Styela clava: one gene and its partner. The protein of the gene in region 1 interacts with the protein of each later gene in a pairwise test. Links are inferred from orthologs where the notes say so. Each region holds a gene or a part of one and is shown on either strand. Other genes may lie near its edges. The genes, in order: alpha-adducin-like and protein lin-7 homolog C-like.

The links.
Region 2: the proteins of alpha-adducin-like (region 1) and protein lin-7 homolog C-like interact in a two-hybrid assay, tested with the Caenorhabditis elegans proteins (3 studies listed by BioGRID). The link is inferred for Styela clava from reciprocal best matches to the Caenorhabditis elegans genes add-1 and lin-7.

Annotation. Positions count from the first base shown.
Region 1 is NC_135258.1:23,366,904-23,374,066, forward strand, and holds the start of alpha-adducin-like, read right to left. Parts: upstream 3,022-7,163; 5' UTR 2,919-3,021; coding exon 2,874-2,918; intron 1,595-2,873; coding exon 1,445-1,594; intron 1,046-1,444; coding exon 919-1,045; intron 230-918; coding exon 203-229; intron 1-202. UniProt on the Caenorhabditis elegans protein: Membrane-cytoskeleton-associated protein that promotes the assembly of the spectrin-actin network. Plays a role in time-dependent memmory loss and the retention of conditioned behavior over time.
Region 2 is NC_135263.1:5,072,274-5,078,527, forward strand, and holds protein lin-7 homolog C-like, read left to right. Parts: upstream 1-4,802; 5' UTR 4,803-4,926; coding exon 4,927-5,523; 3' UTR 5,524-5,718; downstream 5,719-6,254. Other genes in the region: uncharacterized protein LOC120340926, read right to left, coding at 872-1,127.

The DNA of each region.
Region 1 (7,163 bases):
TTACGACATTGAAAATTAACAATAGTGTTACTATTATTAATATCTTCTGATTGAATCGAGCATGCAATTGAACATAACTGATCGAACTATTTAATTATGTGAATATATAATATATATACTACAGCCAGTTACTATAGCAATGCTGGAGCAAGCAAAACCCAAAATTGCAATAAATTATGACATGACACAATATCATTGTCACCTGTTTTCATATTGAAAACTCCATCACCTGTACAAGTAATAGAAGAAACAAGTGAAAACTTCGAATAGATTGATTTATACCAACAATTACTAGCAGAACAGCTGAGCAAAGAACATAAACTTTAAATATTGTAAATATGTAATGCATAGCAGCACCGGTTCAAACACTGCGTTTAATCATAAAACATATTAGGAATTGGTTTTACAAAGCAAGTTGAACAAAATTTACTCCAATAAAGAAACTGAATAATAAACTTAGTAGTGATGTAACAACTTGCAAAACATCTAAATTCTAAACTGGCATGGAGGAAAGCCTGCTTATTAGCGCCTGTGCAATACCCAACTGTGTTTTAGAAGGGGAGTTTTTATTGCACGACCATTAAAAATAGTGAGCCGAGACTGAGCGGTACAAAAGATTTTGTAAGACAAATTATGTTTTAAGCAGAATAATATTTTGTAGTTTCAATTTAGGATGTTTTAAAAGTATGCTAAAATAACAATTACAAATAGAAAGCAGTCAGTATAGCTGTTAATATTTGTTAGTCTTTTTCTGGGAAATACTATTGTTAATCAATCTTTCCTTTAATAGAGATATCGAAAAATTTCTTGGTTTATATATCAAGGCAGGATTGGATGACATAGCATCAAGAAGCACTAACAGCAATAGCCCTAATGGCTAAAACCATGCATGAACTGATATATAATTAAATAAATTACCCAGACTATATTGAGATCTGCTCATCGGCGACAACATATTTGCAATTTCCTTGGCAATTACGTGACCTCCACCATCACCAGAACGCAATAAGTCAGTCACTACAGTTTCAAGTTCTTCTTTGAACACCTATTGAAGAAAATTATAACACAGTTCAATTATTACGTGAGCTAATATTGACACTCGCTATGAATATTCACTGTTAACATTTACAAAGTCATAATCGTGAGATCATGCGTAAATTAAGCGAAAACCATATATATCTAAAAAACTTAACCCTCAATCTATATTACTTTGATTTCATAGTTGGATCTTGTATAATAATACTTAAAAGAGAAACAAAATGAGAATGGATTGCACATTAAAGACTTGAATGAAAACTCCGATGTTAGCTCTTTAATAAAAAATAAACCCAAACAAACTAAAAAACTTGAATAAAATATAGATTATCACAAGAAACTAAGTTATCTTCACTACAATTTGATACAAAATAAAGGTCACATAGCAACTAAAAATAAGTAAATTTACCGGACTAGTTAATACAGATGAAACTCGTTTCTGCTGTCCTAGCTCATTGACATCTTGATCAATTCCTGTTGGCCTTCTAACAGGATGTATTCCCAGCTCAGCTTCGATATCAACACCTGAATGACTTCCTGGAGACTGAGGATCAAGCATCTTTGAATAGGAATAGAAAACCATTCGTTTATATTTATTCTAGGGGAGACAAAAGCAGTTAAGCTGACTCAATCACATGGCGAACCATGATCCTTCGTCTGGTGGCCATTTTCTTGGATACAGCAGAAATAATTAATTTACTAATTTATTGTTCCAGCTTGGATCGGGGACGAAGCTGGCCATAGAAGCACTACATGCCATTCAATACTATTTGATAATACCAAGGGTTGTAAGATTTCCTCGAATTTATTTCTTGAAAGGTTCGAAACCACTGTTCTAAATTATCACTGAGTCGAGCATTCACTATATTGAGTAGCCTACACTTCATGTGGGTCATCACTGAGTGTTATATTTTGAATTCTTCACATACACATATAGTTCAGTACTTATCAAAACTTTATAAATTGAGTAAACAAACATGACAAGTGCCACCCTTTCAAGATTTGTAAATCATGAAAACAAACATACCGTATTTGCTCGTTTTGTAGCCCGGGCCCGTATTTTTTTCAACCAACTCACTAACCGGGCCCTTATCCAAACCGGCCCTTATTCAAGACGGGCGCTCGTTATTTTCGATCGTTACAATAATTAATACATTGTTATTTCCAGTTCCAGTATGATTCAAACGAGAATAATGAAAATTTTGACTTTTTCTACGCACCGCAGGTACAAATCCGCAAAAGAAGAAAAGTCTTGTGACGCCCTATCAATATTGAAACGACGCACTTGGGCGTCGCGACGCCCAGTTTGAGAACCATGGTGTTACGTAATCAATGCTATCTGTTATGTACTTGGACGCCTAAGGCGTGAGTGTTATCTACAGGTGCTTAAAATTCAACAGCGTTGTGACAAAAGCGCTTCTTATTTCCTATTGTTCTCTACCACTGAAAAATCAGCTTTTACATCTCTACCACTCATTCTCATTCTCTACCACTGAAAAATCAGCTTTTACATTCAAGCACCGGCCCTTATTTATTTTTATGTTCTGTTCACATGGGCGGCTTTTCAAACGGGCCCTAAAAAAACGAGCATATACGGTACTCTGCCACTGAAATATATTAAATTATGGGGTCTAGTGTAGTTTAGTATCACAAGTACTTCTATTGATTTTGTTTACAACTGACAACCCCCCAAAGGCCATTCATTAACAATTCATATTATTACTGTATTAAGAGAAAAGCACTCATGCCTCACTAAAACAAATTTCAAGTTTTATGATCCACTACTCAGATACCATATTTTAACTATAGGTCAGACCAAAGAAAAATCCAATAAATACCTCTCTATGAGATTGCTTGGTTCTTGTAGGACTTTTCATCGCCATTTAATTGATATTTCGAACTGATAATTTTCAGATAACTAGACACATTAAATTTCAAAATGAGTACATTAAATACTACTTGCCACGCATCGTGCACTACAAAAAACTGTTTAAAAAGTTAGCAAGCGAAAATGAATGGGTGCATTATATCAATTAGCGAAAGAGTCTGAATAACCCAACAAAAGTCACACTACATTGCACATTTGATTTGGATGAAACTTATTACATATTACTGTATTGATAAGATGTGCCATCCTCATGCGAGCCACGAAATTGTCTATGTTTCTGGTTATATTTTATTTGAATACATACAGTTCATTTCATTCTTTTCATAATACAGTAATATGATCACATTTAATGACAATTAAGCAGATGGATTTCAAATCAAATTGTTTACTATAGAAAGAAACCAAATGTTCACTTACCAATTTTATCAATTAGAAATTTATCATTCTCAGCATGAATTAATATCGTATCTGTCTACGATTCTTTTTTATGTACCGCATTCAAGGATGAATACGTCATAAAAAATTTAGATTATTTCCCATAGTACAATAGGGCACAGTTTTCCGATTCCAAGATGTCCCAACATTCTGACATTTGGTTCAATGAAACAAACACTCTATTTGTGTCTGAAACTAGGACGCTTGGCACAACATGAGATTGTGCCACGCTGTCTCGAAAATAAATTAAATCTTTTGTGATCTGCGTCGCAGGCACATGACCAAAATTGTGTTTTTGTTTTGTTGTGCAATGCCTGTTTGTATCTAGTGAAGGAAGAGTTTGCACTCACTATTATAATTAATGTATTTTAATGTTGGGGCCATTCTTGGAATCGGAGAACAGTGCCATATTGTAGTATTGTTGCAGTGAATAGTTTCCATACACATTCAGACATTCCGTACTGTAAACAGGTTATCAATGATAGGATAGGATTTACATATTTATCCCGGGGGGGGGGGGGAGAGGAAAGCCAATAAGATGGCTTATCCATATGGCGAACCACGACCTCTCGTCCGGTTACCATTCCAAGTCGGGTATGGGATTAGTTAGATTGTTTGTTTTCGGAATCATGGACTTGGTGGTGGAGGAAGCCGTAACCGACTGTTAGGTATAAAGAGCAAAAGATATTCAGCATTAACAATGTACTTCGTGAATGGGCAGATGGACACATGTATAATAGTTAGAAGTTCAGCGGTTATGTGAACCACCCAACGACGGCGAGGAGTCCAGCAATCCTCTCGCACATAACCATCCCTGCATGGGATGCGAACCCACGCAGATCAATTAGAGGTGTGGTGGCGAGCGTATTCCTAACGCTTAGCCCGTTGAGCCACACTGCCGCGCCAAATGATCTTCCCATTCTATCTGTCTATTGTCAGATTGTACCATAATCAGATACCGTAGTACCGTGAGCTTATTGCTTGACCTATAGCCAAACTTTCTCACAATTTATTCTCATAGTGCTTTCTACATCTGTATCAGACATAACATGAGAAATTATTTTTGAAGGTCAGTCGCAGTCAGGACAATTAATTCTGTAATTAGTCTTCAATTCAATGCAGCCAGCCTGAATGGGTAACAAGTACAACTTAGTTTACGAGCATACCTCTGTACCTGCATGCCTGGGGGTCTAGTATAGTTTGGTACCGGTAGTCTACCACAAGTACCGTACTTCCAGTGGGCATAGCATAACGAATTTTGCATATGCTATTCCTAACCCCCACCTGACTACCGTATGCCATCCAAAAATTACGTCACTACGACGTCATCATCACGTCATAGGGCTTGTCAAAGTATAATTACGATCGCCCGAAATGGCATCTGCGCCGCTGATAACGAACTCGCTTAACGTCGGCGATCTCTCTCCTATCGGGATCGTTGTGACGAAAAAACGAGAGAAATAGCTTGCTCGATTTCGGATGATCGTCTGCGCGTTTTGGACTACCTTCCGCATGCTTTGGTGGGCCTTATTACGCCACTGTGACGTCGAAATGACCTAATTTTTCGGTGACGTAGTCAGGTAGAGGTTAGGATTGACATATGCAAAAATAGTTGAGCCAGGCCAACTAGAAGTGCATGTGGGTACTAAACTATACCGGTACCGTACCAGACCCCATACCGGTACGGTACCACGTACCGGTACGGTACCGGTTATTGTTTTAGAAGCGTTCCTACCTATCCACCTTATTGCAGTGAATTCTATCAATAAGAACATGATAAATTATAATGTCATATAATATATTAAAAATGTCCAAGATTGCCTGAACTGCTGTGACTTGCTTATACTGTCCTATAATTCCAGAATTCAGTACCGGTAACTCGAATCGACGATCCTCGCTTCCGCGCTTGAAATTAGCTTGTATAGCCTACATACTAGAACTTGTTTTTGTCGCATCCTAACTTTGATTGAGGTAGGGTACCGTATGTTCCTTAATCTGTATCGATTTGTCGGTCTTCCGAAAACATCTCTATTTCCGTCAACGTGTAACCGATTGCTATGCATGTATTGCGGTATCAGTAGCACCATGCTAAAACATCCTCCACCATCAAGTCCATGCAGCGATTTCCTTACACCCCCCTCCCCCCGCTATAGGGGGTGAACACACACACACACACACACCCTATTTTTCAAACACCCCAACTAATTTTGAGGTGCGATTCCATTCTGTAATTCCCAACTCGGTTGTATTTAATTAATTATATAGAATATATATGGCATATTTATCAGTGTAGATCAGGGGTTCCCAAACAGTGGGGCAATTACGTCCCGCGTAACGACTTAAAATGCCCGCCTGGTTTGAACATTTGACTGATTTATCTTGGTACTACTTACTTTTGGTGTGTTTACGTATAGTTCACTGCATCGCGATTATTGGCTGATTACTTGATTACTTCTTGTTATGGTTAACTGTCTAGAGCTTTAGTCTGTCTTTAGATCTGTTCTCATAAGCTTGTTAATGGTGCTATAGTCATTGGGTATGAATAATCTATTTCATAAGTTCCTTACATTGGGATAATCTGTTCTGACAAAGCCTCATTTAAATGTAAGTGAATTGGTATATTCTTGCTTTGTATTGTGCCTGGTTGCCTGTACTCATTTTAATATTCATCTTTATTGTTTGTCAGGTCACTTTGTCTTACTGATATCTGGATTAAATCACTTTGGGAGAAATCTATTCGTTTCATTTTGGGATATTAGTTAAAGAGACATAGTAGGCAAGGGTGATTTGTCAATGGGCAGAAATCCAAACTAGTGACATTTAATGATACTGCACCTACACCTACAAACTGGAGTCTGAATCAAGCAGTTCTTCTTCAACCTTTCGAGGATTCAGCAATACATCAAAGCAAGAATGCCAACTAACAATGTCAGAATATTTTCAAGGTCAGAATTTCAAACAACTCAAGAGTAAGTTTCCGGTACTCAAAAGTAAATTTGGAAAGAATTTTAACACGATTTGAGCACTCTCTGGAAAGAAGAGATTTTGAAAAGGTCAAAATACTGTTTCATGATGCTAACGATAAAATAGCATTTTTGGTCTGTCTAATTGATACTATGGAATTGGCTCTAATTGAAGAAGACAGTACTACACAAAGTGAGGAAAAACCCGTTATATCCAAATTTAGTGAAGAAATTTTACGTGTGGAAAACAAGATTGCAATCGATTTTGAGAAATATGAAGACAAACTAGATATAAAGCCGGAGATATCATCTCTTGTAACCACTCAAAACAATTATAATAATGATCCTCCTATGATTAAGTTATGTGGTATGCATCCGCCATGCTGGAACGGACAAAAAGTAGACTTTTATACCTGGAAAGAACGTTTTACACATATAATGCACCATGCAAGAATTACGGATGATTTAGTGCAAATTTCATGACTGTTACGCAATGGTGCAATGCCAAACGATTATCAAACAATGATATGTGACTGTAAATCAATTTCAAGTGTATGGGAACGCCTGGAAGAGCGTATTCCTAAATCAGTAGTTCAACGTGAAGTAATCAAGCAATACGAGCAAATAAAACCTTTATATAAGACCTCTCGTAATCCAGCGAACCTTAGGCGACTAACTCACGAAATTTCTCTCTTCTGCCGACGTATGGAAGATCTTGGGTTAAAACAGGATGCAAACTCGGTTATTTCTGTCAATAGAGCATTAGAGTGTCTAGATGCAGACACTGCACTGCGATATAATAGTTCCAGCAAAGGTAATCATAACTTGGAATCTATAACGAA
Region 2 (6,254 bases), on another chromosome or scaffold:
TTCTTGTACAGGAATTTCTAATATTATTGAATTTAAGATTGGATTTAATCGCATTTTGTTAAAATCGCCGATTGTTTTCTTCACGGGCTATTTGGGCCGTGAACACCTTCGCGTCGATATTCATTTTTCCAATATCACAAATTTCCATCAACATATGCATGTCTTATTTTGGTTCTTACACGGAATGGTGAATTTGTTGTGAAAAACCAGTCATTATATTATAATCATCGGCGACGAGATGCTAAAGCTAATAAAGTAGTAAATGATTGAAAAGCGGCATTGTAAACTACTAAAACAACTAAAACACAATAAGTTCTGTTTTAGGAGACCCGCTCCAAATAAAAATGCGGCATTTGAAGTAGCAATGTTTTGTATTTTTAGTCCACGCAACAGCCTGTTACATTGAACACATTAATTAAGCAAGATATTTCAAATTCCCGTATCGGTCGTGGATTGAATACTTTGCGTAATTGCGAATTGTACTTTTTGGGATTGTTTCACACACCTTGAGTTTTTCTTTTAGCGGCGACATCTTGAAAATAATCTTTAGTTGCAGTCAGAATAGCTCAAATCCCAAGGTAGTAAAATTCGAATCCAATCTATTCATAATCGGACATCTTATCGCGTGTTTTATTCTACAGATTGTCGAAGTATTTTATAGTTGGACTTTTATTTTACTGTAAATCGACGCAAAGGCGAGTTACGTTGAACACAATCAAATTAACATAGCAAGACATTTTAAATGTTCGCATCGGCCACGGATTAAATATTTTATGCAACGGCAAAATCGTTATCCGCTCGACCCGATTGATTTTTTTTTACCGAAAATGAAAATATAAACTTTACTTGACAGGTATACTTATGCACTCACCTTGTTTAAATTTGGCCATTTCTGCCTCTAAGTCTTTACTCTGTCCAAGCTTCGATTTACAAGTTATAGGAAATTCATTTCTGTTCATATATCCTTCGATGTCAACTTCATTCAACCCTTTAGGAGTCGGATCGCACTGAGTAATCAAACAGCCTGGTTTAGCAGAACAATGAATGACGGTTTCATCGTCCTGACATATCACAGAAATGAAGAGAATGGAGAAACAAATAATAAATCTCAGAAAAAATTTCTTCATTTCATCCGATATTATATGAAGCCTCTTTTATTGAATCTGTATTGTGGTTCCAAGAAATAAAACATTACAATTTTTTGATATTTTAAAACATTTTCTCGCAACACCAAGCATCATGCACGTACAAACGCATCAGTACTCCTATCAGTGAGACCTATGAATATACGCTTACAGATTGCATTAAGACGATCACTATTTAATAACCTTTGGTAACACAATCTGAAATAGTGGATCTCGTACTTTCATGATCGGTGGCTCGCATTCTAAAGACACCCAACACTCTGGTCTTCCTTTGAAATTAAACACTGTATACTGTCTTCGGCGCTCCCGTAGAATGTGCAACAAGATGGCGGATACCTGAACATAGTATGTGTACCAGGTTAGGGTTAGGCCATAATTTTATTCCAATTTTCTTTAATTTTGTTCTATTACGAGTTCGGAAACTATCCAAGTGACCACACCCTCGTAGTATTTGTAGCTGAAATTACGGCCTAATCCTAACCTGATACACATACTACGTTCCGGTGTCCGCCATCGTGGTTCACATACTACGAGAGTACCTTGTCTTCTTCTATCATATACGATCATGGTATATATTATTCTTATCACCATTCTCCGCCCTCCTTTCCCATTTGTTTGAGAGTACCAATAGGTTAGCTTTTGTGATAGGCTGCCGAATTAGACGGGTATTCGACAAAAGACCGTGTCGCATTACAATGATTACAATTAGTAATCATTCACAGGTAACCATGGTGGACTTTCGACTATTTTGGCCGCACTAATACAGAGTGGTACCTTAAAATTTGCCTTATGGGAAATGATATATGTTATTTCCTTGGTTGAATACAAACTGTAATTCCTGTACGAAGATATGGAAAATTGGTAGTTTTTATTTACTCATATCCTATAGTATAGGTACTTATTTTTAATATAAGTCTTTCATTATTTTAGAATATAGTCGATATAGCCAATTAATGCTCTATAATGCTCGTCTATTTTATACAGTCAACTTTACCTCTGGACATTGTGCACCATAGTAAATATGACAGACCTAATCCTCATGTCTTTGCCGAAATCACTGTACGTTACTCTATTTCTACAAACGAAATAAACCTGAATTTTGCTGAATTGCTGTTCTTGTTGGGGTATTGTTGTCGTGAAATGTCGCTTTTCTTCGTAAGTACTGGGCCAACCGACTTAAGATTTTAAATTTCACGACCTAGAGTTGACTTTCACTCGGCAATCAACATATCTCAATCTCAGTACGAAGCTACATCTTGCAATAGCCTGAAGGATATATTTGAAAGTTTCCTGTATCCGATTACATTAAACTTCGTGGTTAGATTAAAGTTATTTATAAAGGTTGAAGCCGGCTGTTCATAATGTAGAAAGGAATGGCCAAATCATAAAAAAAACATTTGCGTCTGAAAAATCAAATTCTTATACTGTAAAGGCAATTAATCACGTGAAAAATGTATTTGCGACATTCCTCAATCGATTTTATTCGTAATCATACTAATGTATCATCCATAATTTCCCTTATTAGCCAACTATTTACTTCCGTGTTTAGCAAATTATTTTTCGTTTGTAACTTCGTTTTGGTTATTTAGCAATCTTATGCTTTGTATTGGGTAATCCACTCTCCAGTTGTGAATGCTTTTAAATCTTCTTTATACATATTAAATGTTGTAACTGGTAAACATTTATTTTATGATGTTTTAATTCACGTAAATTGAAATTATTAGAACTCTTGTAAACATATGCCCAAAATTCAACTTGAGTAGTTCCAAAACTCCTTCAACTTTACTCGATAACCAAAATCAATAAATATATTTTTTAAAAGGTAATGTTATAATTAGAGCTGGGAATGGTTAACCGGTTAACCGATTTCAGATGGTTAACGGTTATGATTTATTTTAACCGTTAACTGACATCTCGGGTACAAATCATCTTTATACCGTACAATTTCGTTAAATATGATTACGTCATCTCAAATTTATCTCTTGCGGCGTTTAATTTAAAAAAATATTACTAACTGTGTGGGTAAGGACTCAATGAATGTAAAAAATAATGGAAGTACCAAGATTGCTGATAATGAAAATTTACAATGATAAATTCAGAATCAGTTTTTGGTCGATTTCGAAATATATTGTTCACGATTTCATTGCAAAATCGGATATTCAATGTCATACAACAAGTGCGCACTTGATCACGCTTTTCTTTATGAAATATATCTCGAAATAGAATTTGCACATCAAACACTGAAAATTTGTCACATAAATGACGTTTAACAACGGAATCGGGTTTTCTTAAATATTTCCACATGCCCGAACCACGCTGCCTATCTATTGCAGCAGAGGAATCATGAAACTATCTCAATTCGTAAATAATTTTGAGCGATACCGGGATAAAAACACGCGAAATTGCGTTATAACCAATGTGACGTAACAAGCTGAAATTATAATTATTACGTCAAACGTCACGCGGCGGTTAACCGGTTAATTTTAATCGGTTAACTTTAAAGTGTTTTCCCTGAAATTCCCAGCCCTAGTTATAATAGTAAATTCTATGATAATTCATCAAATGAGTAAGGAGCGATTGTCGCAGGAGCGATTGTGGTTGGGGTTGACTTTAATGGGCGAAGGTTCCTATCGCCGCTCCCTACAGTTTATATAGGGATATATATATATATAAAGTGTTGGTTAGGCTACTTTATTCTAGTTGAAATGATGACTGTATTTTGATTGGCTAATAAATCCCTTTTTCTCTCTCTTTTTCACACTCGTTTTCGTGAAGATTCGCCGTCGATAATTTTTTTGCTGAGGAGCATTGAGTTATCCGATTCAGTTATCATTTTCTGTCGTCGGGATTAGCTCACATTTTTGTTCGTCCGACCGGACGATTCAAATAAAACATATTCATTCAGAAAATTTAGGAATAATAGTTTTGAAATTTTACGGTATAAATAGAAATACCACCCTCTTTTTGTCTCTTCAGAAGTCTCGCTTATTTCTGTATATTGTGTAACGGTAATTTCATGAATAGATCAAAATACCAGCAACTCGTATAATGAGGATCGCGAGATGGCAGTGATGAGTTGGAGTACAACAAAACATGACTGTTGCCACAAAATTAGCGTTTATCCATGGGTATATTTTTTAAAATTAGTAAGTTTTTAGGCATTTCGATAAATTTTACTTTCAACATATCTAATAATTATGCAAATTGTGTATTTATTATGTGTCAATTAAAAATGAAATATTTAAGAAATCATTTGTATTGTGTTAGCTAACTTGTTAAATAATCCCCCTTCTTATATTACGATATCTTTGGAACTGTTATGTGTAATCCATCAAATATTTGTTGTAATTAATTAAGGTAAAAATCTATAGCGGCCTTTTTTTTCCTCATGATATCTGAATGTCTTGTCTTAATAGAAATTTTTCTTTTTTTTATGGGTCGGTCGACGTAGTTGACCTTGCAGTCTTGCGGCCCCCTCCCGAATATATTCTATGATTTATTTATTTTTACAGTTATTGAAATTTTACATTTTTTTGATACATTGGGAAAATAAATCATTTTCTCTCTCTCATTTCTGTTTTAGTGAAAATCTATCATCACTAAAAAATCGTCAGCAAGAGAACTCGATGACATCTGACTGGTGACGCAACGACTTGTTTCTCGTCTGGTACGGCAGTCGCTTCCTGACTTTCAGGAGAGGTGTTTATCGTTCGTCTAATTCCGCGACGTTGTTTGTAATTCTTTATTTATTATTATCTAGTTTTAAAATAACTCTATTAAAATGTCAGAACCTTTGACACTCGAGCAAGACATTACAAGGGCGATTGAATTGATCGATAATTTACAAAGTCGAGGGCAGGTTCCATCGGATAAAATCCTAGCGTTGAAAGCCGTTTTGCAAAGTGACTTTTTACACGCTGTTCGTGAAGTCTATGAGCATGTTTATGAAACTGTGGACATTACCGGGAATCCTGAAATAGCTGCAAATGCCACTGCTAAGGCCACAGTTGCTGCTTTTGCAGCCAGCGAAGGACATGCCCACCCGAGAGTTGTAGAATTACCTAAAACAGAGGAAGGACTTGGATTTAATGTCATGGGAGGTAAAGAACAGAACTCTCCAATTTATATTTCTCGTATTATACCCAATGGGGTAGCAGATCGCCATGGTGGCTTAAAACGTGGCGATCAACTTTTATCAGTCAATGGAGAGTCCGTTGAAGACGAATGCCATGAGAAAGCGGTTGACCTTCTCAAAGCTGCCATCGGAAATGTTAAATTAGTTGTTCGATATACTCCTCATGTTCTAGAAGAGATGGAGCAACGATTCGAGCGACTTCGTCTATCCAGAAGGCAACAGCATACCTCAAACTCTGGCTAATTCCATTCAGTTAGTTGTCCAACATATTTTAAGCTGCTAATGTTTTTATTGATGTTTTCTTGATTTTGTTGACTTGATTTTCTATTTGATTATTTGTTATGATATTGTTGATGAGGGTATGGTCTATTTAGCTGTATTTTACAACTCAAAATGCAGAAATTGAAAGATTATGGTTATTCCAAATAGTGTTGCTTCTCGCATATAGAATATTCGAAAACTTGTGTATTCAAAATAAATTTTTCTATTTATTGATATATGCTCAATTTTGCTCAGAAACTTATAAAATATATCAAAATATTGAAATCCAAAATATTACATTGAATTTGAATTTTTCTTCAAACTTTGTTAGACTGAATATGTTTGAAAATTTTTGATTTGATTTGATATAATCTACATTGGTACGATTTGGACTGCTTGGACCACATCAATATGGTATGATTGAAAGAAATTGTGATGAATTTCTAATGCTCTGAAGCTAGTTATTATTTTCTTGAATAGCGTTTAGTTAGATCGTACCAAAGAATTCATACCCACTGAAATTCAGAATTTGCTGAGTAAAACTATTGATCAACTAATAGGGGTAAAGTCAACTTTTAATAAATGCACCAATGCCTTTGTTACTTAAGTATAAGTACCTACCGGTAAGTAACAACTGCATTGGTTCATTTAGTATCAATTGTCAATGGGGGAAACAGTTTTAAATAATCCTATTCATATTGAGAAATCATACT